Linked DNA regions of Callithrix jacchus. The protein of the gene in region 4 binds, or shares a complex with, the protein of the main gene of each other region. Links are inferred from orthologs where the notes say so. Each region holds a gene or a part of one and is shown on either strand. Other genes may lie near its edges.

What was found.
Region 1: the proteins of TUBGCP6 (region 4) and MZT1 are in contact, whole or in part, in a crystal structure (PDB 6M33), measured with the Homo sapiens proteins. The link is inferred for Callithrix jacchus from reciprocal best matches to the Homo sapiens genes TUBGCP6 and MZT1. Residues at the interface, in NP_065194.3 of Homo sapiens: Met1, Ala2, Ile4, Leu7, Phe8, Asp10, Leu11, Cys12, Ala14, Leu15, Pro17, Ala33, Leu37, Val40, Ala41, Ala44, Leu45, Asn48, Ile70, Leu73, Lys85, Arg88, Leu89, Leu92, Val93, Glu95, Leu96, Leu104, Leu105, Ser109; in NP_001065243.1 of Homo sapiens: Asn17, Ala20, Val21, Thr24, Val27, Leu28, Glu30, Ile31, Ser32, Ile34, Leu35, Asn36, Thr37, Leu39, Glu42, Thr43, Leu44, Ile46, Cys47, Arg49, Leu50, Cys51, Glu52, Gln53, Ile55, Asn56, Pro57, Glu58, Ala59, Leu60.
Region 2: the proteins of TUBGCP6 (region 4) and TUBGCP3 are in contact, whole or in part, in a cryo-EM structure (PDB 6X0U), measured with the Homo sapiens proteins. The link is inferred for Callithrix jacchus from reciprocal best matches to the Homo sapiens genes TUBGCP6 and TUBGCP3. Residues at the interface, in NP_065194.3 of Homo sapiens: Pro65, Arg67, Asn68, Leu71, Met72, Ser74, Phe75, Asp76, Arg78, Asp87, Glu90, Asp151; in NP_006313.1 of Homo sapiens: Pro9, Asn10, Val11, Leu13, Gln14, Glu25, Ala26, Ala29, Gln30, Phe32, Gln33, Val36, Arg37, Ile39, Gly40, Ser41, Phe43, Thr129.
Region 3: TUBGCP6 (region 4) and TUBG2 share a complex: the UniProt entries of both Homo sapiens proteins name them as parts of the gamma-tubulin ring complex. The link is inferred for Callithrix jacchus from reciprocal best matches to the Homo sapiens genes TUBGCP6 and TUBG2.
Region 5: the proteins of TUBGCP6 (region 4) and TUBGCP5 are in contact, whole or in part, in a cryo-EM structure (PDB 7QJE), measured with the Homo sapiens proteins. The link is inferred for Callithrix jacchus from reciprocal best matches to the Homo sapiens genes TUBGCP6 and TUBGCP5. Residues at the interface, in NP_065194.3 of Homo sapiens: Glu290, Ala291, Ser292, Lys293, Arg294, Arg295, Cys296, Trp297, Glu298, Arg299, Val300, Gly301, Cys302, Pro303, Pro304, His306, Arg307, Glu308, Glu309, Pro310, Tyr311, Leu312, Glu314, Lys322, Arg325, Leu326; in NP_443135.3 of Homo sapiens: Asp211, Asp212, Arg213, Trp215, Leu216, His219, Val220, Val221, His222, Trp225, Ser230, Phe232, Pro233, His234, Leu238, His239, Ser240, Asn241, Leu242, Leu264, Val265, Thr266, Glu267, Thr268, Gln269, Arg272, Val302, Thr303, His304, Leu305.
Region 6: the proteins of TUBGCP6 (region 4) and TUBGCP4 are in contact, whole or in part, in a cryo-EM structure (PDB 7QJE), measured with the Homo sapiens proteins. The link is inferred for Callithrix jacchus from reciprocal best matches to the Homo sapiens genes TUBGCP6 and TUBGCP4. Residues at the interface, in NP_065194.3 of Homo sapiens: Leu312, Thr313, Ala315, Gly316, Arg317, Ala319, Phe320, Phe323, Leu326, His327, Glu349, Pro390, Glu391, Ser392, Ser395, Leu396, Glu399, Tyr403, Ser455, Leu456, Leu457, Thr458, Gly460, Phe461, Lys464, Lys465, Arg468, Arg471, Tyr472, Glu475; in NP_001273343.1 of Homo sapiens: Met1, Ile2, His3, Glu4, Leu6, Leu7, Ser10, Gly11, Tyr12, Pro13, Gly14, Ser15, Ile16, Gln29, Phe31, Pro32, Phe33, Leu34, His35, Pro36, Glu38, Thr56, Ile59, Glu60, Thr63, Val66, Gln67, Gln68, Ile84, Arg87.
Region 7: TUBGCP6 (region 4) and NME7 share a complex: the UniProt entries of both Homo sapiens proteins name them as parts of the gamma-tubulin ring complex. The link is inferred for Callithrix jacchus from reciprocal best matches to the Homo sapiens genes TUBGCP6 and NME7.

Annotation. Positions count from the first base shown.
Region 1 is NC_133502.1:42,552,907-42,557,160, reverse strand, and holds the start of MZT1 (mitotic-spindle organizing protein 1), read right to left. Parts: upstream 2,801-4,254; 5' UTR 2,769-2,800; coding exon 2,690-2,768; intron 434-2,689; coding exon 288-433; intron 1-287. Other genes in the region: BORA (protein aurora borealis), read left to right, coding at 4,148-4,254. UniProt on the Homo sapiens protein: Required for the recruitment and the assembly of the gamma-tubulin ring complex (gTuRC) at the centrosome.
Region 2 is NC_133502.1:27,997,016-28,000,515, reverse strand, and holds part of TUBGCP3 (gamma-tubulin complex component 3), read left to right. Parts: intron 1-555; coding exon 556-691; intron 692-1,519; coding exon 1,520-1,588; intron 1,589-3,500. UniProt on the Homo sapiens protein: Component of the gamma-tubulin ring complex (gTuRC) which mediates microtubule nucleation.
Region 3 is NC_133506.1:121,228,168-121,232,324, forward strand, and holds the start of TUBG2 (tubulin gamma-2 chain), read right to left. Parts: upstream 2,801-4,157; 5' UTR 2,579-2,800; coding exon 2,530-2,578; intron 2,259-2,529; coding exon 2,146-2,258; intron 1,940-2,145; coding exon 1,772-1,939; intron 1,452-1,771; coding exon 1,383-1,451; intron 886-1,382; coding exon 859-885; intron 1-858. UniProt on the Homo sapiens protein: Tubulin is the major constituent of microtubules, protein filaments consisting of alpha- and beta-tubulin heterodimers. Gamma-tubulin is a key component of the gamma-tubulin ring complex (gTuRC) which mediates microtubule nucleation.
Region 4 is NC_133502.1:218,817,571-218,821,070, reverse strand, and holds part of TUBGCP6 (gamma-tubulin complex component 6), read left to right. Parts: intron 1-871; coding exon 872-1,035; intron 1,036-3,500. UniProt on the Homo sapiens protein: Component of the gamma-tubulin ring complex (gTuRC) which mediates microtubule nucleation.
Region 5 is NC_133507.1:1,848,464-1,851,963, reverse strand, and holds part of TUBGCP5 (gamma-tubulin complex component 5), read right to left. Parts: coding exon 3,338-3,500; intron 1,771-3,337; coding exon 1,582-1,770; intron 508-1,581; coding exon 325-507; intron 1-324. UniProt on the Homo sapiens protein: Component of the gamma-tubulin ring complex (gTuRC) which mediates microtubule nucleation.
Region 6 is NC_133509.1:31,140,268-31,143,767, reverse strand, and holds part of TUBGCP4 (gamma-tubulin complex component 4), read right to left. Parts: intron 3,179-3,500; coding exon 3,037-3,178; intron 399-3,036; coding exon 221-398; intron 1-220. UniProt on the Homo sapiens protein: Component of the gamma-tubulin ring complex (gTuRC) which mediates microtubule nucleation.
Region 7 is NC_133519.1:33,151,153-33,154,652, reverse strand, and holds part of NME7 (nucleoside diphosphate kinase homolog 7), read right to left. Parts: intron 3,457-3,500; coding exon 3,290-3,456; intron 1-3,289. UniProt on the Homo sapiens protein: Possesses an intrinsic kinase activity. Displays 3'-5' exonuclease activity with a preference for single-stranded DNA. Does not seem to have nucleoside diphosphate kinase activity.

The DNA.
Region 1 (4,254 bases), about 180 Mb from region 4:
TGACTTTGGGACCACAGGTTAGGACTTGAATGTATCTTTTCTGGAACAGGCACAATTTTACTCATGACACAGCACAATTCTAAAAATAGAGACTTCTGGGAAAATACAACATGGTCCATGGTAGTAGTAATTTTTGTGATATGAACATACGCTATTTAGCTCCTTGTCTTCTGGTGGTGTTGGATGTTAGTTTAATCTTTTTTAACCAGGATGTTCCCCATAACTTCATTAATATTTTTCTAAATAGAAGCATCTTTATTTAGAATGAACTAATAGGAATCTCTAACCTTTAGTGCTTCAGTAGCCTTGCGAAGCTCCTTAATAACCGATGATAAAGCTTCTGGGTTAATTCCTTGTTCACAAAGCCGTACACAAATAGACAGAGTTTCCATATCTAAGCCAGTATTCAAAATTCTTGAAATCTCAAGCAGAACTGAAAAAAGATATAAAGAAAACTTAAAAAAAAAAAGCTTATGGCATTGAAAAACATGCACATAGTACTTTTATTAATTTATATATCACTGCACAATACCAGGGAATTAGCATAGCATCCCAGGTTTTGGAAATCTGCATGTAATACTGTCTTGCCTTTACTTCATCTTAGAAACTTAAATATAAACTTACAACTTCACGTCACATAACTGCCTTTTCCATCTTGGTATATATTCTAGCACTCATTTAATATCTATCTAACACATATCCACCACACTTAGGATAATTCTGAACACTTTCTTATTTTTTAGTATTCTTTTAAAATGCAGTTTAATTAGTTGAGTATCATTCCATTTGATGGAAACACTATGTTTAACTACTCAGTTAGGTGTTAGGCTGCTCTCATGTTTCCCACATTAAATAATATTAAGAATCTGTACATACTATATTTTATTTCATTAGGATAAATTTCTAGAAATAGAACTGCTCAGTCAGTAATATACATATTTAACTTGCTGAATTGACATATATTAGGCAAAAAAAGAGAAAAAAGTACATATTTAAGGTTTTAAAAGTGTTTAGAAACTTTTCAGTGTAATCATGTCTGTTGAATCTAATAATAAAAATGAAACCTTATATTTTTTAAACTTCATTTGTATAGTGCTGCATTTTATTGTACTTGGTAGAAGTCTTTGTCTTTAATATGAGAAGTACTAACAGAGAAACCTGGTTTCCAATGTGATTTTCCAAGAATCCCTTCCATTACAGGTTGTAAGTACACTGGTTCCATTGAATTTTATGATTGCTTCGCAGAGAGTTTAGAATATTTTAACTGTCAACATATTATCTATTGTTTCCTACATCATTTCCCCTTGGCATTAAGCTTAGAAAGTTATTCCCCATGCAAAGATTATATCCACCAGTATTCTCTTCCAGCACTTGAAAGTTTATTTCCCAATACCCCCCAGTAGGTATTTATCTCCCTGGAGTTTTGGTGGAAAATAGGATCTAACTTTTCCTCCCAGAAATGAGCCAGTTGCCCCAGTAAAATTTATTGAACGACCTAAGCTTTCCCCACCCAGTTGAGATGCTACCTTTATTCACAGTAAATTCTCATATACCTACAAATTGGTTACATGTCTACCTTTTGTTAGGGCAACCATTTAATTACTATTTATATCTATCGCATTGGGTAGGATAAAGATTCCATTGTCACCTTTCATTTATGCAAGCCCTTTTATTCTTTGGGTGAAGTTAAAATGTCTAGGCCCACTGCAAATGACAACATTTAACATGGATCACACACTCATATACAGGTGGATATGAGTAAAAAGGAGACAAAGTAAGAAGACTACGAGGGAAATGACATCTGATATAATATGAAAAATAATGGATCAACCAAGATATGCTTTTACCTGGTTGTCTTATTTAAATATTCACAACAACTCTAAGAGGTATGATTTTATTTTACAGAAAAAAAAGCCAAACAGGCTCAATGATGTTTAAGTATCTAGTCCAAGCTCAGCACAGGGGCACAAAGTGGCAGAACCGACATTAAAGGATGGAGAGAGGGAAATCTCAAGACACTATTAGTGTTCTACCACGCTTGTGTAGGCTTCACTCGCAGGTGCCTCCGGACCAAAAACAGGCGACACTCACAGCACTTGAGCACTGGCATCACCCGCTTCAAGAGGAAACTAGGACAATTCTGAACTTGTTCATTCGCAGGATATTAACGGCGCCTACAGAAGTGCCAAGGACACGAGGCATAGCGGTGACCAAACACCTGGCCCCGGTCCACGCCGGGATCTCAGCCTTGGGGACCCCCGAAGCGCCCCGCACGGCACGCCCGCGGGAATTGGGTGGGGCGCGGCGCGCAGAAGAGAACGGGTATCTGCGTGGGGTAGGCGTGGCGCGTGGGGCCGTCACCACAGGAGAGCGGGCGGGTCACGCGGACCGGGGACGCGGGATAGAGGGGGCGCTGCATTCCGGGTAGGGCGCGAGAGGGACGCGGTGCGCAACGGGCTGACCAGGGGGCCGGAACGCCTAGCGCGCGCGACAAACTACGCAGTGGCGGAGACAACTCTCCAGGGATAAGGCCATTAGTCCTACAGCCCTGGCAGGTCTCTTCCAAAGATCTTTGACGATGCCGTTTGGGGCAGGAGGAGGACCTAGAGTCCTCTCCAGGCTCCGCTCCGCCTGGGGGCCTCGGCTCTGGGAAGGCAGGCAAGGTAAAGAGGGCGCAACGGGCACTCACCGTCCATGGTCTCCCGCACCGCATTCAGATTCGCCGCCGCGGCTGCCGCCGCCGCCCCGGCGCCGCTGCTACTCGCCATGACTGAGGCCGAGGGAGGCGGGAGAAGGGCCTGACCCGGAACTGGAGCGCCTTCCTCTCTGCGGGGCAATCACACCGCGCGTCCCGGCTCACGCCGGGCAGGCTCCGCCCCTCGCGCTTGCCGCCGGCGTGAGGCTACGTTGATTTGAATTTGGAGCCTCGTTCCTCTGCGCGGAACGTGGAGCGGGGAGTTGCTATTCGAATTTCCTAAGCGGCCTCCGTGCGATTGGCTGGTTCGCGGACGGCGGGGCGATGCTATTGGTCAGTCGTTCACAAGTCCCGTGCCCTGGTTGGCCGAAGACACAGCGGAAGCGGGGAGTTAAAGAGTCTGCTTGTCGTGGAAGCTGGCTCGGTCCACGGGAGCTCGCTGGAGAAGGTATTGGGGGCTTCCTTTTGTATGCACCGGTAGGTACGTTCTTTGTGGACCCCACCCTTTTCTCCTGTTTGAATGGAGAGCTTTCTTTTCCGGCTCAACTCTTGCCTGCCCGCTCGCCCCTGGTGAATGGGAGCAGTCAGGCAGTAGGTGTGGAAGAGAAGGGCACCAGAAAGAGTGGCCGCGTAGGGTTGTGGGTGACACTTCCTCCGCGCTCCACCCGAGGAAACCGGCTGCATTTCAACCTTCCAGAAGTAGATTATTCTTCTCCACCTCCCTCCCAAGTTGTAGCCTCTACAGCTTCCTTCGATCGGAAGTAATGCAGTCTCTTTTTCTGTGCTGGGGCGGGGGGGTTGGCGAAGGGAGGATTTTGGAGGAAAGGGCACCCAACCAGTTAATTTCCTAACCCCTGTCAATCATACTTCTCTGGATAGAACTCAGCACAAGCTTCCTCATCTCTTACCTGCTTCCTACAAACAACTGTTTAATAGCAACTGTAGCTGGATAGGGTATCCGAAGGATGTTCACAGTGTTGAGACATGAGATGATGAATTAAAAAAAAAATTGTAGATATAAGTCCTTCAGTTGAGAAGAGATCTTGCCTCTTGTAACCTTTAGTTGCCTCAGGAAGTAGGTGTGGAAGAGAGGGGCACCAGAAAGAGTGGCGGCGTAGGGTTGTACAGTCTCTGAACTCACGGCAGATCTGAACTCATTCATATTTGTTGACTGCTGTGTATAAGCCACTACACTTCTCTGAGCTTATTAATTCTTTCGCAAAATGATATCACTAATAACTTACTGCTGTAGCTTCCAAGGTTATTTTGAGGATCACTTGAGAAAATTTGTGATACTTTTTTTGTAAGCTCTAACATAGCCTCAATAGTGTTAAGTTTTGAGTTGTTTTTGTGACACATGTGTTTGTCGAATACATTTTAATAGTTAATATCTATAGGACTCGGTAATTTTAACATGCATACTCGATTTCTTTTTAGTTTCCTCTTTGTGCTATGGGAGATGTCAAGGAATCAAAAATGCAAATAACACCAGAAACTCCAGGAAGGATCCCTGTTTTAAATCCTTTTGAAAGTCCTAGTGATTATTCTAATCTCCATGA
Region 2 (3,500 bases), about 190 Mb from region 4:
AAGTTTGAAAACTTTGTTAATGTGTATAGCATAGCACATCTAAGTACTTTCAGTTTAAGCTGAATCAGAATCATTTTTTTTTTTGGAGATGGAGTCTCACTCTGTTGCCCAGGCTGGAGTGCAGTGGTGCTCACTGCAACCTCCGCCTCCTGGGTTCAAGTGATTCTCCTGCCTCAGCCTCCCTAGTAGCTGGGATTATAGGTGTGCACCACCACAACTGGCTAATTATTGTATTTTTAGTAGAGACAGGATTTCACTGTGTTGGCCAGGCTAATCTTGAACTCCTCACCTCAGATGATCCACCCACCTCGGCCTCCCAAAGTGCTGGGATTACAGGCCAGTATTTTTGAGACTGTAAAGAAATGTAACTCCACAATAATTGGTAAGCCCTGTTTGCAGTTAATGCCATGAGGCTTTCGTTGCCACATTATTGTATTGGTCCCATTTTTCTTTTGAGTTGTTATGATTTGAACTCTTAATTTTTATAGTTTTTAAGCTTTTTTAAAGTTAAGAATTAAAGTAATATTTTCTTTAATTTTTAAAAAATTTGTTAAGACCAGAACTTGTCCGTCCAGCTACGACTTTATATCAGCATAACCTGACTGGGATTCTAGAAACTGCGGTCAGAGCCACCAACGCACAGTTTGACAGTCCTGAGATCCTGCGAAGGCTGGACGTGCGGCTGCTGGAGGTACTACTGTGGCCCCGTGTGTTGGGAACGCTGCCCCGGCCCTGAGGACCCCTGGGCTGGGGTGTCGTAGCGAGTGCTTTCCATGTTACTTCAGGCACAGCTGGTCATTATGTTTCTGGAAACTGGGCAGCCTGAGTAGGAATTCCACTCTCCCTTGTTACTGCATGGCCAGCTCCCCCTCTACTCCACTCTGTGCCTCTGTGCGCTCATCTTACAGCAGGGAGCCTTGCAGGGCTGCTGGGCTTAAGTTGGAGAAAATGCAGGACACCCTTGCCCCGTGCTTGGTAGCACATTGCAGATGCTTAGAAAATAGTGCTTCCTTCTCACAGTGAATCTGACAGGAGCACAAGACATGGTATATAATGATATTTATCAGAAAATTGATGTTTTTAGTTTCAGTTTGGTAGGATGTGACTTTTCTTAAGGGTATGGATATTTTAAACATAAACCCACTATTTGCTTAGTTGTGATGAAAGATCATTAGCAAAACCTATTGGTTTTCTTAAAATGTCCAAAGAGTCATGTTGGAATAGCTAAGGATTTGGAACATACTTAGTTCCAGTGGGCTTTTGTCATAAGCAAATGACAATGAATTTTAAACACGTATCCACAGTATTCATTCAGAAATACCTTGCTTGTTGCCAGATGTTTGCAGAGCACCTACTGTGTGTTCATTGCTGTCTAATTGGTAAGGTTATAGACGTTAACAAGAAGATGCACTCGGAACTGTTGAGCAATTTGTAACAATCGGGCGCTCTTTTACTGCTGTTTCTTTGAGTCAACACGTCCTCAGTTATGTGTCTGCAGTTACGTGTTTGTTTCTGTTAGGTCTCTCCAGGCGACACCGGGTGGGATGTCTTCAGCCTCGATTATCATGTGGATGGACCAATTGCAACTGTAAGATGATCCTTTTATAGTATTTGCAGCTGTTAGGATTGCTAAACATTTTGTTTGAAATCGGCTTTCTTCTCTGGGGACTTCTAATTAAAGTGATCACTCGACATCTAAGACATACTCATTGAATGAATACTTAAGCCAAAATTGTGTGTGTATTTTAAATGATTATTAATGAGTACTGAACTGCTCTATTATTTTAAAAATTCTTAAAAATATTATTTGTTTAGGAGAATTGCCTGAACCCAGGAGGCGGAGGTTGTGGTGAGCTGAGATCGTGCCATTGCACTCCAGCCTGGGTAACGAGCCAAACTCCGTCTCAAAAAAAACAAAAAATATCATTTGTTCTATCATAGGTTTCAGCAAGTCCTTAATAAATAGATTGTTCATTTCATTCCATTATTCTTAGACTGTAGCAACTAATTTAGGATAATTTGAAAGGAGCTATAAAGTGTATTTTAGGGGAATTACACTTTCCTTCAGAGAGAAAGTTTGATGTTTGTATTCATTTAAACTGATGATGAAGTAGCTGTACTTTGTTCATAGTGCTTCAACCTGCATAACACTTACCAAATCATAAAAGGCTGACCAGGGACGCCGTCTTTTTCCATGTCTGCACTCAAAATACCTCTTTTCAGTGCTCATTTTTAAAGTATTCAGACTCCAGTACATTTCATTGACCAAGATACCCCTTTAAACTTACTTCAGTTATCTTTGTATCTGAAATACTGAAGAAGGACATTGCATTTCTTTGAGGTTTTGGGGAAAGTATTTTGTTGAGAAGGAATATAGTTGGGCTCTAAAATTTCTTCTTGGTTGCTCTGGAAGAGCCTGCTTCGCACCTTTCCCCACGTCTCAGGTTCACATCACGCTGCTGAAATCATCGCGTCAGGGCACGCTCACCCTGTTTTCTTTTGGGATTAAGAAACCTGCCACTGGTGAGCCTGTCTCCTACAGTAAGGTGGGAGCCGCTGGTGCGATTTTTTTTTTTTTTTTTTTGAGACGGAGTTTTCGCTCTTGTTACCCAGGCTGGAGTGCAATGGCACGATCTCGGCTCACCGCAACCTCCGCCCCCTGGGTTCAGGCAATTCTCCTGCCTCAGCCTCCTGAATAGCTGGGATTACAGGCACGCGCCACCATGCCCAGCTAATTTTTTGTAATTTTTAGTAGAGACGGGGTTTCACCATGTTGACCAGGATGGTCTCGATCTGTTGACCTCGTGATCCACCCGCCTCGGCCTCCCAAAGTGCTGGGATTGATTTTTTTTAACATGTAAGTTCCGGGTGTGTAGCCTTTATGGATCAAAGCTACTATATTTTAAGTGCATAGCCTCACTTCAGATTTAATTTCTCATCATATTCAAATCCCCGTTTTCTCCTTTGACTTATGTCTTAAACAATTTAAAATGGTTGTAATGCAAGAAGTAGTGTGATATTTTAACAAATTATTTATTTATTTTTGACAGAGTCTCACTGTGTCGCCAAGTCTGGAGTGCGGTGGTGCGATCTTGGCTCACTGCAACCTCTCCTGGCTGGGTCCAAGTGATTCTCCTGCCTCAGCCTCCCAAGTAGCTGGGATTACAGGCATGAGCCACCATGCCTGGCTAATTTTAAAATTTTTGGTAGAGATGGAGTTTCTTTCAAACTGTTGGCAAGGCTGGTCTCGAAAGTCCTAACCACCACCTGCCTCCCTCCCAAAGTGCTGGAATGACAGGCGTGAGCCACCATGCCTGGGCTTCACAAATTATTTAAATTAGTAACTTTCACATCTCCTGCCTTATTAATTTGCGTACATTACGTGTTATTTTCATAGCATAAGAGATACCATAGTACAGATAATTGCGTAGATTATTTCACAAGATCTGAGAGCCTTGCCAAATAGGTGAACTGAACATTGCCTAGATAATTAATTATTT
Region 3 (4,157 bases), on a different chromosome or scaffold from region 4:
GAACTCCTGGGCTCAGGTGATCCACATGCTTTGGCCTCCCAAAGTGCTGAGATTACAGGCATGAGCCACTATGCCTAGTTGACATTTTCAATTTATGATGGGTTTACATCCTGATAAAGCCATTGTAAGTTGAGGAGTATCTGTACCTGAAGATAGCATCAGATCCCACAGAGTGAAGGCTCAGTTCCACAAGATTCTCCTACTCCTAATGCCAATAGAAGCTTCAGGTTGTGTTAGCTGTGCCTCTGACCAACCAGCTATAAATCAGCGTTCTCAGGACTGCTCCTTGGGTTCAATTCATTTGTTACAGTAGCTCACAGAACTCAAGGAGACACTTATGTTTCCCCATTTGTTATAAAGGATATTTTAAAGGATACAAATAAACAGCCAGATGAAGACATTGAGGGGAGGCTCTGGAAAGGTCTGGAGCACAGAACTTCTGCCCTGTGTGTTGGGTTTGCACCTTCCCAGCATGTGGATGTATTCTTGCTCACCTTCCTGGAAGCCCCCGAACTCAGTCCTTTTGGATTTTTATGGAGGCTTCATTACACAGGCATGATTGATTAAATCACTGGCAATTGATGCGCAACTCAATCTTCACTCCTTCTCCCCTCCCCAGAGGTGAGGGGTGGGCCTGTAAATTCCAACCCTCAGAGCACCAGGCTTGTTTCCCTGGTAACCAGCCCCCAATCCAGTGGCTATCTGGGACTTTCCAAACATCACCTCAATGACATAAGCTCAGATTTGGTTGAAAGGCATTTGTTCCTCCTTAGTACAGTGGTTAGTAAAATTAACTAATTAAATAAAATGACAGATTAAAAGAAAGGGGCGTGTTATAAATAACAGACTGTCTTTCACCTTTATCACTCTGGAGCTGTTCTGGAGCTGTTTCAGAAACCAAGGACAAAAGGTCAAATATTTTAACAAAACATACCCTTATTGCTCAAGTCTCTTAGGAAATTACATGGGTTATAAGAACTGTGAGCCGGGAACATACTGCACCCAGCATGGGGAGAGATGGAGAGGCAGTCTCCAAGGTTCTGGGGGAGAGACTTCGGCATGACTCATTCCCCATTCCCAAAACGCCCATGTCTCAAAGCTTCCTCTTATGTATCCAGGCTGAGGCTCCTTGGGAAGGTTTGGAGCTGGTGAAGAAGCTGAATGACTCATGCCTAAGGGGCCGGTGCCATCCCGATTTATGACTTCCTTGAGAACAAAGACTATATCTTATTTACCTCAATATTCCACATCTGATGCTCCATAAATGGGTTTTGAATTGAATTGCTCCCCTCACATCACCTATTCAGGCCACCTCCTGACCTTTCCCCAGCACTCTTCAGCCTAGCCTCCCTCCCATTCCTTCCCCTGCTCCATAACTTCACCTCTAAACTGTCACTTCCATCTGCTTCTCGGTCTATGATGTCAAAGATGTCTTCATGAATTTTCTCACCCTGTATAGAGATATGGAAAAGGAGTCAGGACAAAGGTTCCAGAGCTCATCTTTTCTCAGCACAGCACCAAGAATTCTGTCTTCCCTGGGATATTGTTGCCACCCTGAAGCAGACCCAGGGCTGTAGCCCTCAACCCAGAAGTGCTACTTTTGCAAATGATTTGCACAAAATTTGCATAAACCTCTCCCTGACTGTCTCTCTTGTTCTGGGCATCCTTTTCTCTCTTATTTTCTGTCAGTCTGGTCAAATTCCTAGTAGCTTGAGCCTGCCTTGCCTCTGGGTGGGAATATCAAAGGTCTCTGGAATGGTGGCCTGGACACCTGGGAAAATCCACTGGCCCAGTTGTTGCCAGCTCCTCCTCCATGCTCCGACAGGTAGATGTTCTCTGGGTTGTAGAGCTTGGCATAGGGGGAGTTGAGGATGGAGTGGATCACCCGGGGCTCCAGGTCCAGCAGCACGGCCCGGGGGATGTAGTGCTCATCATCTGCCTGTCAAGGAGAGTCCAGGAGGAAGACCAATCAGCCAGGGCGGCCCAAGTCCTAAGTCCTCCCAACTCTGGCTCCCTGGGCCCTCCCTCCTCAAGCCAGCCGCCTGGCCCCTTTGCCCAGTGGGGCTCCCCTTCCAGTACCAGGCCACTCCCTTCCCTTCCGGCCCTTTGGGCCACTGCCGCCCCTGGCCAAGTTGCTGGGGGCACCTGGTAGAAAAAGACGTCCTTGCGGTCAGTGCCCTCGGTGGCGAACTCCTCCACGATGCCCTCAGGGCTGATACCATGCTCGGCGCACAGCTGTTTCCAGAACTCGAACCCAACTGGGGGAGGAGGGAGATGCCCGGGTCTGCTAGAGCCTTAAGGCCTGAGGAACCCAGTTTTAGTCTCAGAGGCTGACACGATCAGAGGGTGGACCCAAGATGTGGGGGTCTGGGAGCTGCCCCAGCTCCGGGCTGGAGGCGCAGCTTTGGTCGGGTTATCCAGAGCAGCAGGGTAGGGGGTTCATGGAAGGGAAAGGTGGAAGCCAGGCACTTGGGTGGGACCCGAAGGGGCAGAACCAGAGACCGGCGGGGCCGGCGCTCTCTTGCTCACTCTGGTTGCCGCACTGGCCCAGCTGCAGGGTGATGATCTCCCGGGGCATCACTCTTCAGACGTGGGCGCGCCAGCCCCGGCCTGGCGAGAGTCACGGCTGAGACGAATGCCTGGCAGCCAGGCGCGCCAGACGTGGGGAGCGCGCTCTCTCTTCCCCTCTTGACGCGGATGCTCGGTCTGCGCGTGTGCAACGCAGGCCTTTCCTCGGCCGGCGGGCCGAGGAGCCCAACCTGGGCATCATTTTCTCCCTCAGCAGTCGCAGCTGGAATTCGGCACAGGCGCAGAGTGAGGCCACGCCCGCTCCTGCCCACCGGTCCGCGCCTGCGCAGTGAGACTCGTTGGGGGTGGCAAGGTCGGAACCTGGATGTGTGGGGGGAAGAGAGGGGAGGAGAGGGAAGGAGAGGGAAGGGACGCGGAGGGGAGCAGAGGGACAGGGAGGGGAAGAAAGGGGCGGAGCAACCAGGTGGATGTGGTTGTCCAGGTATAGAGTCACCTACCTATATTGGTAGGTGAGTGACTGTCAGCTTTGCTAGTTCCAGGTGCTAGAAGCCAGCTTTTCTTCTTTTAAATTTCTGTTTTTTAATGGTGTTACAATACACACATACACATGTATGTAACCTTTTTATTTTTTATTTTTTAGAGGGGTCTCGCTCTGTCACCCATGCTGGAATACAGTGGCGCGATCATAGCTCACTGTAGCCTTGAACTTCTGGCTTAAGTGATCCTCCCACCTCAGCCTCCCGAGTAGCTGGAACTACAGGCATGTGCCACCATGCCTAGCTAATTTATATATATGGTTTTTGTTTGTTTGTTTGTTTGTTTGAGACAGAGTCTCGCTCTGTTGCCCAGGCTGGAGTTCAGTGGCACGGTCTCAGGTCACTGAAACCTCCGCCTCCTGGGTTCAAGCAATTCTCCTGCCTCAGCCTCCCAAGTAGCTGGAATTACAGGTGCCCGTGACCACACCCAGCTAATTTTTGTACATTCAGGATTTCACCATGTTGGCCAGGCTGGTCTCAAACTCCTGAACTCAAGCGATCCGCGGGTCTCGGCCTCCCAAGGTGCTGGGATTACGCAAAGTGCTGGGATTACGCAAAGTGCTGGGATTACGGGCGTGAGCTGTGCCTGGCCATTTAAATTTTTTTTTTTTTTTAGACAGTCTCCCTCTGTTGCCCAGGGTGGAGTTCAATGGCACAATCTCGGCTCACTGCAGCCCCCATCTCCTAGATTCAAGTGATTCTTCTGCCTCAGCCTCCCGAGTAGCTGGGACTACAGACACGTGCCACCACGCCTGGCTAATTTTTTTGTATTTTTAGTAGAGACAGGGTTTCACCATATTGGCCAGCTGGTCTCGAACTCCTGACCTCATAATCGACCAGCCTCAGTCTCCCAAAGGGCTGGGATTACAGGTGTGAGCCACCATGCCTGACCTAAAATGTATTTTTATAAAGATGGGGATCTCACCGTGTTGCCCAGGATGGTCTTGAACTCCTGGCTTCAATCAATCCTCTTGCCTCGGCCTCCCAAAATGCTGGGATTACAGGTATAAGCCACCACTCCTGGCTAAAATTTACCATTGTAACCATTTGTAAGCACTGCATACAGTTCTGTGGCTTTCAGTATATTCACAC
Region 4 (3,500 bases):
ATAGGTGTGAGCCACCATGCCCGACGTGTATTTTTAGTAGAGATGGGGTTTCACTATGTTGGCCAGACTGGTGTCAAACTCCTGACCTTGTGATATGTCCACCCAGCCTCCCAAAGTGCTGGGATTACAGGTGTGAGCCACCGCACCCAGACAGTGGACAGTAATTTTTTAATGTTTAGTGTGATTTTTTTTTATGCTAGGTTTCCTAAAATGGAATTTCCTATAATGGAATGGTCAGAAAGTTTCTCAAAAGCATCTTTTCAGAAAGCATCTCAGAAAGTCATTGTAGGTTCCACTGAGGATTATGTGTTATATGGAATTGGAAATTTGTAGTCTTAACAAATTATTTTGGGCCGGGCGCGATTCCTCAAGCCTGTAATCCCAGCACTTTGGGAGGCCGAGGCGGGTGGATCACGAGGTCAAAAGATCAAGACCATCCTGGTCAACAAGGTGAAACCCCGTCTCTACTAAAAATACAAAAAATTAGCTGGGCATGGTGGTGCGCACCTATAGTCCCAGATACTCGGGAGGCTGAGGCAGGAGAATTGCTTGAACCCAGGAGGCGGAGGTTGCGGTGAGCCGAGATTGCGCCATTGCACTCCAGTCTGGGTAACAACAGCGAAACTCCATCTCAAAAAAACAACAAAACAAAACAAAACAAATTATTTTGTTTAATTCCTTAAATGGCTCATTGGGGAAAAACATTGTATGGTACACCTGTGCTTGAGAAAAACAGAGAAACGTTTTGCTAGGTCTTTGCCTCTAAGAAGTAAATGGAACTTTGTGGATAAAGTTTGTGGAATTCTTATTGCCCTTGGATGAAATGTGGACACAGGAATGAGTGGCGGTTTGTTCTTCCCTGTGTCTCCAGGTCCCACAGAGTGTGGATCACTGGGAAGATGAAGGGTTCCAGTCAGCATCCAACCTGACTCCTGATTCCCAGTCTGAGCCCAGCGTGACCCCAGACATGGACCTGTGGGAAGCCGCACTCACCTACGAGGCCAGCAAGCGGAGGTGCTGGGAGCGAGTTGGATGGTGCGTGCCCTTCTTTGCCTTGGCATGCAATGCCCTACACCTGTGTGAGCATGGCCTTGGGTGTGTGAGGGGCATTGCTGTCTCAGGGGCCCAGGCAGTTGTGATGGGTTAGGGACCTGGAAGTTTCGGTTAAGGTAGTGTCCAAATGCAGAGGGGCAGAGACCAGCAGCCTTTAAGGGGATCTCACCTCCCTGTGCCAGTAACCAGATCATATCTTCCAGGCAGAGCAGTAGGGGACAGCTAAGATATGTACTCACTATCAGTCAGAGGTGCCTGAGAGCTGCCTGGCAGGGTGTGTGGTCAGTGCCAGGAAATGCTTACCGGGCACTGGGTGCTGATGGAGCCTTTTCCATCCATGTCTGGAGGAGGTGGGGTGCTGAGGAAGGACCCTTTTCCATCCATGTCTGGAGGAGGTGGGGTGCTGATGGAGCCTTTTCAATCCATGTCTGGAGGAGGTGGGGTGCTGATGGAGCGTTTTCCATCCATGTCTGGAGGAGGTGGGGTGCTGATGAAGGACCCTTTTCCATCCGTGTCTGGAGGAGGTGGGGTGCTGATGAAGGACCCTTTTCCATCCGTGTCTGGAGGAGGTGGGGTGCTGATGGAGGACCCTTTTCCATCCGTGTCTGGAGGAGGTGGGGTGCTGATGGAGGACCCTTTTCCATCCGTGTCTGGAGGAGGTGGGGTGCTGATGGAGGACCCTTTTCCATCCGTGTCTGGAGGAGGTGGGGTGCTGATGAAGGACCCTTTTCCATCCGTGTCTGGAGGAGGTGGGGTGCTGATGAAGGACCCTTTTCCATCCGTGTCTGGAGGAGGTGGGGTGCTGATGGAGGACCCTTTTCCATCGGTGTCTGGAGGAGGTGGGGTGCTGATGGAGGACCCTTTTCCATCCGTGTCTGGAGGAGGTGGGGTGCTGATGGAGGAGCCTTTTCCATCCATGTCTGGAGGAGGTGGGAGTGGCACTCTGGGTGATGAGAAGCTGCAGCTGCAGCAGCTTTTCCCTGCCTGGTGCCAGCAGCTTGCTCTCTGGATGCAGTAGCCACTCTCTGGCTCATCTGGGTCCAGAGGCCTCTGCACTCAGGACCTCTCAGTCTGTAATGTGGTGGTATCTTTTCATAACTTCCAGAACCCAGGTAGAGAATATGCATTTTGGCTGGGTACGGTGGCTCACACCTGTAATCCCAGCACTTTGTGAGGCCAGGATGGGCAGATCACTTGAGGTCAGGAATTTCACCTGGCCAACATGGTGAAACCTCATCTCTACTAAAAATACAAAAATTAGCCATGTGTGGTGGCACTTGCTTGTGATCCCATCTACTCGGGAGGCTGAGGCACGAGAATCGCATGAACCCAGGAGGCAGAGGTTGCAGTGAGCTGAGATTGTGCTACTGCACTCCAGCCTGGGCAACAGAGTGAGACTCTGTCTAAAAAAACAAAGAGTACACATTTCCCAAAATGTTTGTTTGGCCATGGAATGCCCTGTTCACATCCAGTCCACTGGGGATTCTGTTGATACCGGTTTGGGGAGTGTTAGGTGAGAGAGTCAGGGCTGGCCAGGAGCTGAGTGCTCTCAGATGCAGTGTTGGGGCTCCTGCAGGGCCTGGAGAGGAGCATGTGCCCCCTTTGAGCTTTCCTGACATCATAGATTCCTCCAGGGATGGCTAGCTCCCTGCTTCCCAGCACAATGGTGGTGGTGGCATTGTCCTGACTGCCGGGGGCTTTCCTGCTTCTCAGCACAATGGTGGTGGTGGCCTTGTCCTGATTGCTGGGGGCTTTCCTGCTTCTCAGCACAATGGTGGTGGTGGCCTTGTCCTGATTGCTGGGGGCTTTCCTGCTTCTCAGCACAATGGTGGTGGTGGCCTTGTCCTGATTGCTGGGGGCTTTCCTGCTTCCCAGCACAATGGTGGTGGTGGCCTTGTCCTGATTGCTGGGGGCTTTCCTGCTTCTCAGCACAATGGTGGTGGTGGCATTGTCCTGACCGCCGGGGGCTCCCTGCTTCTCAGCACAATGGTGGTGGTGGCCTTGTCCTGATTGCCGGGGGCTCCCTGCTTCTCAGCACAATGGTGGTGGTGGCATTGTCCTGACTGCGGGGGGCTTTCCTGCTTCCCAGCACAATGGTGGTGGTGGCATTGTCCTGACTGCGTGGGGGCTCCCTGCTTCTCAGCACAATGGTGGTGGTGGCATTGTCCTGACTGCGGGGGGCTTTCCTGCTTCCCAGCACAATGGTGGTGGTGGCATTGTCCTGACTGCGGGGGGCTCCCTGCTTCTCAGCACAATGGTGGTGGTGGCATTGTCCTGACTGCGGGGGGCTTTCCTGCTTCCCAGCACAATGGTGGTGGTGGCATTGTCCTGACTGCGGGGGGCTCCCTGCTTCTCAGCACAATGGTGGTGGTGGCATTGTCCTGACTGCCGGGGGCTCCCTGCTTCTCAGCACAATGGTGGTGGTGGCATTGTCCTGACCGCCGGGG
Region 5 (3,500 bases), on a different chromosome or scaffold from region 4:
AGCCTCCCAAGTAGCTGGGATTACAGGCACCTGCCACCATGCCCAGCTAATTTTTGTATTTTTAATAGCGATGGGGTTTCACCATGTTGGCTAGACTGGTCTTGAAATCCTGACCTCAGGTGATCCACCACCTCTGCCTCCCAAAGTGCTGGGATTACAGGTGTGAGCCACCACGCCTGGCCTCAATTTTCTAATATGTAAAATAATATTAGTAAAACTCATAGGAATGGTGCAAGGAAAAATAATATGTATAATTCATAGAAGACTTACTGGCACATAGTTCATTTTATACTAATTCAAATAAAGGTGGCGTCCATATTTTACCGTGAACTATCTTCAGGATAACGTTGTCCTACGGCTTCCTGGAGTTGGACATTAAGAAAAGAGACATTCTGCCAGGTTTCCTTTTCTCTTATTTTATCAAAAATTGATGTGTAGAAGTCATACATGGTATCTCCTCCTTCCATTAAGAAAAAATTCCTCATGGCTTGCAAGTATTCTACCAATCTGGAGAGGAAATGAGTGACCCAAGATCTCTGACATTTGTAAGGCAGGATTAGGGATCAATACCAGGTTTTGGACCCTACGGTTTTTAGTGAAACAAGTTTACAGTCTACCTTTACTAAAATTAGAAATATTAACACCTCTTAAGACTTGTTTCAAGAATAAAAACAGCATAGGTTTTCCTCTCATCATCAGAAGGTGACCTTCTATAACGTTACAGAAAATTAGGCATTCACAGAAATGTAACAAAAAAAATCCAAATCCCATGATTCATGGTGGATTTCCACCATTAATATTTAATATTTGGAATGTTTCTTTCCTGTCTTCTCTTCTATGTGTTAAGAAAACCTAGTTCCTACCATATTATATATTCTACTTTTTAACTGCCATAATTTTTATAAACTTTACAAAGTTCACACATGGGTATATATATGCCATATTTATGGATATGCCATAGCTTAAAGAACTAGTCATCTATCACTAAGTAATTTTGTGTTTTTCATTCTGGTAACAAACTTTGTAACATTTTTCTACAAGTTTTTCCCACATTTCTTTTGGGAAAGATCCTCAGAAATAACCAAATAAGTTTCAAAACATGGTTAAGAAAATATTGATGGTCAATTGATTTCTCTTAAAAAATTGTTTACTGCCGGGCGCGGTGGCTCACGCCTGTAATCCCAGCACTTTGGGAGGCTGAAGCGGGTGGATCACGGGGTCAAGAGATGGAGACCATCCTGGTCAACATGGTGAAACCCCGTCTCTACTAAAAATACAAAAAATTAGCTGGGCATGGTGGCGCGTGCCTGTAGTCCCAGCTACTTGGGAGGCTGAGGCAGGAGAATTGCCTGAACTAAGGAGGCGGAGGTTGCAGTGAGCCGAGATCACGCCACAGCACTCCAGCCTGGGTAACAAAAGCGAAACTCAGTCTCAAAAAAAAAAAAAAAAAAATTGTTTACTGCATATCCATTTCCTACTCTAATAAAAATGGAATTGAAATGTAGGTTTTTAAAACAATCTCAACTGCTCTTCAAGTACAATCATCTATTTACTACTTCCAAAATCAAATTACTCTTTTACCTGTAATCTTTTTTTAGCGTTTGCATGAGATTTCCACAGCAATCCAGATACTGCTTATCAATATGAGGATAGAGGCAGGATCTCAGCGTTAATTCAAAGGTCTGGCATGTCACAGATTCTGATGATCTATCCACACACACATCATCACCAGCAAACTTCTCATGAAAGTCGCTCTGCTCCAAATACATCCTTCAAGATAAAAATGTGAGTCTTCTTTTTATAAGTGGCTGTCAACAAAATTCTCTTAAAACCCCAAATTCCCATTTTTACCTTTAGTCCTGAAGTTACCAACTATTACAGAAAGCGAAAAATCTTTCTCCCCAAAATATCTTTTGAGAGAACCAGTCTCTTTAAGTTGCCATTGCCCTAGGGTCAGGTACTAGAGCCGATCTTTTTTTTTTTTTTTGAGACGGAGTTTTGCTTGTTACCCAGACTGGAGTGCAATGGCACAATCTTGGCTCACTGCAACCTCCACCTTCCGGGTTCAAGCAATTCTCCTGCCTCAGCCTCCCGAGTAGCTGGGACTACAGGCACGCACCACCATGCCCAGCTAATTTTTGTATTTTTAGTAGAGACAGGGTTTCACCTTGTTGACCAGGATGGTCTCGATCTGTTGACCTCATGATCCACCCGCCTCGGCCTCCCAAAGTGCTGGGATTATAGGCGTGAGCCACCGTGCCCGGCCTTAGAGCCGATCTTTGCAGTGATTAAGGCTGCATGTAGCAAATGCTGGCCATTAGACAACCCAAAACTGTGGGTAATAATGACTTACACTACTGGGCAAAGTGCCTAAAAGCAGCTTAAGCCGAGGACATATGGCAATGGGGACCCTGACTCAATGGATGTCCAGGGCCCACACATGGCCCAGAGTTTCAGCACATCCTGGGTAAATGATGACACTTCCAGGGGCCTGAGGGCACAGACACAGGGTCTACCACATGGTGGCAGGGCCAAGTCTGCAGACTTTCACAAATGACAGAATCCAAACTATATACCTGAAATAGGCCAGCACATTTTGTATTCTGCTCATTGTAAAAGACAGGCGGGGCGTGGTGGCTCACGCCTATTATCTCAGCACTTTGGGAGGCCAAGGTGGGTATATCACCTGAAGTCAGGAGTTTGAGACCAGCCTGGTCAACATGATGAAAGCTGAAAATACAAAACATTAGCCAGGCATGGTGGTGCATGTCTGCAGTCCAGATACTTGGGAGGCTGAGACAGGAGAATCACTTAACCTGTGAGGCGGAGGCTGCAGTGAGCCAAGATCGCACCACTGCATTCCATCCTGGGAGACAGAGTGAGGCTCCGTCTCGAAAACAAAACAAGGCTGGGCGTGGTGGCTCACGCCTGTAATCCCAGCATTTTGGGAGGCCGAGGCCATTGGATCACAAGGTCAGGAGATCGAGACCATCCTGGCCAACAGGGTGAAACGCTGTCTCTACTGAAATACAAACAGAATTAGCTGGTGTCCCAGCTACTCGGGAGGCTGAGGCAGGAGAATTGCTTGAACCCAGGAGGCAGAGGTTGCAGTGAGCCAAGATCGCGCCACTGCACTCTAGCTCTGGCGACAGAGCAAGACTCTGTCTCAAAAACAAAAGAAGGAAAAAACAAAACAAAACAGAACAAAACAAAAGGACAGCCTACACGTGTTTTTGTTTTGGCCCTGGAAAGCCCTGCCTTCCAGAAATAAACAGTTACCGAACGTTGCACAGATGACGCCATTTCAATCACTGATAATCTTGCAGGTGGTTATCACCTTGCAAAGTTAATGGCAAGCAGTGGATCGTGAACACCATCCAGTTCAAGATGCCTTTCAGCAATGGACTGCATCTTAATTAGGTTCTCTTTGGTTGCCTGTTGCTCAGTGAGAACATGTGGAGTGGAATCTTCTCCATGTCGAAGCCGTGACTGTACAGATT
Region 6 (3,500 bases), on a different chromosome or scaffold from region 4:
CCACTGCACTCCAGCCTCGGCAATAGAGTAAGACCCTGTGTCTAAAAAGTAACAAAATAAAATGCTTTTTAAAGAAACATGCCTAGTGATATAACTCCTGAATTTTCTCAAACCCCACCATTTTATCAAATACAAAACTGTAGTCCCTCTTTGATACTCCCTGCCAACCTCCTAGGCTTGTTTCCGTATCCCTTCCTTCTACTCATCTCTCAGCACAGACCTGGAGATAGTACTGAAGATTATCCACCAAAAATGCCATGTGATTTCTTAGGCGCCACTTGATCGCATCAGTCTGGTTAGACTTGAGGTGCTTGCGCTGCATTTGTAGGGCCCAGCAGTGCTGCAGCTCAGCTTGCACCCGGCGCACGCTCAATAAGTATTTGAAAACAACGTTGTATCTAGGACAGAAACAACAGGATATTCAAGATGAAAATTTCACCCCCTGTACTTCCCCCACATTAGACTCTAGGACTTTGTGCTACCCACCCATCTCAGAAAAAAGCAGTAAGGAAAGAATGACTAGACATGTAGACAAATAAATTGTAATTTATCTATACAGTGGAATATCATATAGCAGCCAAAATGAATGAACTCCAGCTATATAACAAGGTGAAACCCCATCTCTGCAATTTTTAAGGTAACTAGAGAAATTCCAATATGGACTGGATATCAGATTATAAGGGAGAAATGTTAATTTTATTGGCTGTGACAATGGCATTATAGTTCTGTTGAAATATCCCTTTTTGAATAGTTGACTCATATTGCTTCTTAGCAATATGATTTTTGCATGAAAAAGGTAAATCACAAAAGATTACATAAAGCTTTTTTTATAATTCTTTAAACAGGCCAGATGTGGTGGGCTTATGCCTGTAATCCAAGCATTTTGGGAGGCCAAGGCAGAAGAATTGCTTAAGCCCAGGGGTTCAAGACCAGCCTGAGCAACATAGTGAGATGCCATCTCTACTAAAAATTTAAAAAATTAGCCAGGTATGGTGGTGCTCACCTACAGCCCAGCTACTCGGGAGGCTGAGGCAGGAATATCGCTTGAGCCCAGGGGTCAAGGCTGCAGTGTGCTGCCTGGGCAATGGAGCAAGATCCTGTCTCAAAAAAAAAAAAAAAAAAATAGTGTGTTATGAATCAAGGATTATGACGAAGCTGATTCTCTGTCCCTGAAGCCCAAAGCTTCCCTCTAAGATAAACTCCTGCCTCCCTGCAAGCTCAGGAGCTAACTGCTTAATGCTGAAGCCCCATACTGAAACGACACATGGGAAGAACAGCTGATTCTTGGTAGAACTGGATTTATTTACCTGTTTGTAGGCAGGTTTGCAGAAGACAGTCCCATTCTGTTTGGTTTTAAAAATTATCTATTTCTAAAGGAACAAACATAATAAAATAATAGACCTTGTTTGGATACTGATTTGAACAAACCCAAACATAAAGATTTTTTTTGATAACTGGAGAAATTTCAATGTAGGCTGGATATCAGATTACAGGGATTATTGTTAATCTTATTGGATGTGATAATAGCATTCTAGTCCTGCTGAAATATGCCTTTTTCAATTGTTTATTGGCAGAATGAATGGATTATGATTTGCTTTATACAGCTCCAACAACAAAAGTGGGGGAGGGACAGATGAAACTAGTAGTAGAATGTTGATGGTTACTGAAGGTGAATAATGAGGACACAGGAGTTTGTTATAGTCTATATTTTTGTTTAGATTTATAAATTTTTATAATGAAAATGAAAAAAAAATACTTCTAAACTTGATTTCTTCAAGGGTGTTGAGAGCATATCCAGTTAGGAGGTAAGTAGGCTGTTGGCCTACAGGATCCTGGGAGCTGAAGATCTTTGGAAGTTCTTTGTACAGGGTCCATGCCACTTGCTTTTAGCTGGGCCATGGGCTCTGAATTTGCCATAGAATTTTCTCCCTGAACCAGCCTCATCTTTTCTAGTTTATGCCCAGTCTATTCTACCCTAAGCTTATCTACCTCAAAAACGTGGAGAGGGCTAGGAAGAAGAACAGGAAGGAATAAGAGTGGTGGCTGGAGGAAGAGATGGCCTTTTTGTTTGTTTCCCTTTTCTTCATTCCTCTGGTTTCACTGAGTATGACAGCTTCAAGTCTCCTTCCAGGCCAGGGGCCAGTTCTCTGACCAGTAATTGGGTTTGGGAAGTTCCTAGATACGGTGTGAGGGTAGATTTCAGAAGCCATGACCAGCCACATTTGCTTCTCTTTCCTCTTTTCTGTAGATCTCTGGTTTGGGGACATTAGGTCCTGACCAAGCCAAGCAGTAACACTTGGCAAGCTCTCATGATAAAGAGCAAGGGTGACCTGACAGAAAGAGACTCCAACTTGGTCAGCTCCTTTACTCCATCCCCAAGCTTGGCTGCCCCTGTTATCTCTCCCTGAGGGTAAGGAGGCAACCTTTTCCCCAGCGGCTGACATCCACAGCAAACATGCAGGGTGGAGGACTTTCCCAAGTAAATCAACAAAAAATATTACAAAATTGAGGGACAGAGACCTTGTCAGGCATGAGGGAATCATCAAGGGCAATTATCTCGACATGGTACCTGAGACCTTATTTTCCAGAGGTCACAAACTGGCAGCCTACAAACTGCTTGTTATTTGGCAATTAACAAAACAACGGTTTGAAGTAGGTATATGCCCTCCCGTGGATTTCAACACCCACCACTCCCTGTGTCTCATATCTGAGCTTCACTTACTAATGTGATCAGTTTACCCCGTGAAGGCATAGGCGTTTACAACTTTTGATTTACAGATTGTTAAAAACTAGTTGGGTAGCTATCTTGCTCCCATTCATTTTTTTTTTTTTAAGAGATGGGGTCTCACTATATTGCTCAGGACGAATTTGAAATCCTAGGCTTAAGGAATCCTCCTGCCTCAGGCTCTGGAGTAGCTGGGATTACAGACATGTGCTACCACAGCTTGTTCTCCCAGTAATTCTATTCCTGCTAGTTTTTTCCCTTGCAAGAAGGTGGGTTATATTTACCTGTGAGAGAAACTCAGAAATACTCACTTTTCCAGGACAGCTGGGGTGAAAAGAATATGTAGTGGCCACTGTACTTTGTAGGAAAGACCTAGGGCTGCCCAGCCAGATGCAGGGGCTTCCCGGGGAGAAGTTTCCCGAGAAGGACCTTCTCTTGCCTGAGTAGCATCTGCTGTGATAAAGAAAAGAAAAAAAGAAAAGATAACGACTTGGTTAATCAAGAACCAGAGACCCAGCAAGTAACATTCACAAAATGAGTCTGCAGGAGTTCAAGACCAGCCTGGGCAACAGAGTGAGACCCTCCTGTCTCTACTAAAAATAAAAAATTAGCTGGGTGTGGTGGTGTGTGCACCTGTAGTCCCAGCTACTCAGGGTGCTGAGGCACGAGAATTGTTTGAACCTGGAAGGCAGAGGTTGCAGTGAGCCAAAAATGCACCACTACACTCCAGCCTGGGTGACAGAGTGAGACTCCACCTCCAAAATAAAAGAAGTGA
Region 7 (3,500 bases), on a different chromosome or scaffold from region 4:
TATTTAGCATTTACTATAATGTTGTTCACCTTTCTCCCTTTCATTTGATTAGATGGTTTGCTTTCCGGCTGAGATTCAAAAGGAATGGGACTGCTGAATGTAAATATGTGGCTCAGTACTTAAAATTAATGAATTCTTAAATAGGATACTGGCATTATTTTTCATTAATTTTTATAAACTTCTTACTATAGCTATAAAGCTACCAAAGTAAACATTTAATACCTCATTTATCATATGGGGAATAGCTTCCTTGTCATATAAAATTCCTCTATCATTCATGTACACACATACATATATATATTGACTCTTCATATGAAAACTTTTTAATTATTTCTGGTTTGAGGTAATAAATTTTTAGAAAGACACAAATTGTATTGTGTCTCTACAACTAAACAACAGAGTCATAAAGCATCAATTGATTACTAGCTAAAATTAAAATCAAAGACTGACTCATTGACAACTTGTAACCTTCATCCATGTGATTAGAGGATCTTTATATAGAGAGGATAGAAATGTGAACCAAATGTCAGATTTCTACAGTCGAAGGGAATTGGAAAGCTGAAGCTAGTTCATGAGTTAAATTGAATTATATTAAATTATCTGGATAACTGCTCCTCAGTTAGCTCCATGGGATCAATTTCACTGATCATCCTCACTACCAGCTTTATTACAGAAACAAAAGACTAAAGTGTAATTCGTTCATAAATTTTCCTCAACACTATACAAAACTGAGAACTAGACTAAATCAGTTATTATACAGAAGGTGTTTCTGTAGAATGCTGACAGACATATACATATATTTTCATATCTTTACTTTTTGCCATTTAAATAAAACAATACATTTTTGAAACTCTTGGGTTTCGAAGAAATTTATTTAAATCACCCAAAGGGCTGCTGGATTTTCTAACCCATATGGAGTTAAGAAAGAGTAAGAAGAGAAGATGGTGAATCAATTTGAGTTAGTAAAATATATACTGTATATATTTTCATTAACTATATGAAGCCCAAATACTTCAAATTTGTCTTCATATTAAAATAGAATTCTTCCGTTCCTCCTGTTTTCAAATCAGTCCCATTCAACAGCACCTGCCCTATTAATTAGAGGTTTAGTAGAAAGAGAATGAATTTTAGACAAAAAATACAATTTCCCTTTACTTTCTAGCTGTGTGACTACAGACAAGTTACTTACCCATTCTATAAAATAGATTTAACAACATTCACTTCTGTCAAATCAGAATTAAAATATGTAAATTATAATTTTAATGGCTATTTTATTTTTATTAGGTCAGACTCTTAACCCTGCCTCCCTAAGTCACTTATTTTGCTAGTTTAAATATTTAAAGTAGTCTTCCAGCGTAAGCAAGATGGCAAAACTGCATTTCTACCAAAACACCAAAAAATTAGCCAGGCATAGTGGTGCAGGGCTGTAGATTCACCTACCCAGGAGACTGACCTGGGAGGATCACTTGAGCCTGGGAAGTCAAGGCTACAGTGAGCTATGATCATGCCACTTCACTTCAGCCTGAGTGACAGAGCCAGCAGACCCTGTCTCAAAAATAATAATAATAAAATAAAGTAGTCTTGAACTGAGGTGTATGTAAAGTGAGTATTGTAATGACTGGCATATAGTATGTGCTCCATAAACGAATGCTACATATATTTATTAGTTTTAAATAAAGGAATTATGGTTGGCATTTCCTTAATCCCATAGACTTTTACATAAGATCTCATAACATTAAAAGATCCTTATTTAATATCTGAAATGTTTGTCCTATTTCAAAGGGAGTCTTTGGTCTTCCTTTTTTATGAGGCATTCACCACCCCTCTGATCCATTTGTGTACTAACACCATTTGTGTACTAACAGCCACACTGAGAATCCAGTCACCTCAAGAATTATAAAGTGCTTGTATAGAAAGACTATGGAAGTCACAGAAAGAGATACCATGTTATTATGAGAGTGACTCAGATGCTATGCAATCAGCTAATCATTTGAGTAGTAGATTTCAAAAAACAGTTTGATTGATTTGTTTTCCCTATTGAATTAAGTCATTTTTGGAGCCTTTTATACATACAGTCTTAACTTCTACTAATAATCCCTATTTTTAGTTACAATACCAATCACTCTGCAGGAAAAAAAAATCTCCCCAAACCATATAAAATATAAGCTACAGCAATCAGAGCCAAGAAAGATGACAAAGGAATTAAAATTTCATTTCAAATATAATTAATTCTAGTCTTAGAAACTGGAAACTCATAAATGCAGAGACTGAAAATTAAAATGCCATTGTGCTAATATTGAAAATCAATATTCGGAAGAAAAACATTATCAAAAGTCCTAGTTTTCTGTAAGTCTAACTTTCAATTGCATCTTCAAATTGTTCTCTCTTCTAATTTTTTTCTTAACCCCTTTTACAGATGACTGTATCTCTTCTAAATCAAAACTGAGAAAATGAATGATAAATGCAGTTTTGACAAACAATAGAGAGAATAGAGACACAGGTGGAGGCATCATGCTACAGTTTGTCTTTCATAGAATGAGCCACATGCAGTGGGAGGAAGAGAAGGAGGCGGGATGCCAGCCATTGGGAAACCCTTCCTTTGACATACCATACTCCAGACATTTCGATGACATCAATTTATTCACTCATTTATTTAACAAACTTTTGTGGGTCACACTCTGAATAATTTACTGTTTGAGGTATCGCTATAACAGTTTTTAGAGATACAGTTACAAACAAGACAGATCAGTCTCCCAGTATCACAATTTCTTTATATGGTTTCTTTCCTTTTTCCTTTTTACAACACTCATATTGTCATTTTTCAATTGATCAGTTGATCAACATTTCTTAGATATATATGTCTGTTAATAAAGCTCAAGAACAGACAGCATTAGTTACAAACAATCTAGACAAAATCTTCCTGGTCAACTATATCAAAGATCATCATTTGAAAACAGGGAGAAAATGGAAAAAGGAAAGAATAAATAATAGATTTTTAAATTGTGATTTATGAATTCATTCAGCTAATACAGAGAAGGTGCTTGCATTATGGAAGGAGACGTGCTAAGTGCCACAGGAGACATAAATATGATTAAGTCAGATGAGACATAAACAACTATGATATTATCAATTATTTTTCAATTAAAAAGAAAAGAAAAAGAAAGAATGAAGACAACCATTTTCCAGGTCCTATTTGTCCTCATTATGGTTAAACCTCCCAGTCTTAATTCTGCCTGACTTTGGGCTTAAAGTCAGAGAATGGAAAAAGAATACATAATTATTTTCTTACTTTTCTTTCCTACTTCCCAGCTGGCGAGCTGTATATTGATCTCCATAGTCAATTAATACCAACTGTCGAGAAAAGACATTCACTTTGTTGCCTATAAATAAATCTTCCAAGTGCAGGTTATCATATTTGGTCCGCTTTAAAAAGGTACGATGATTCTTTACATCATGCTAGAACCAGAAACAACAATATAATGAACAAAAAAAATTATTAA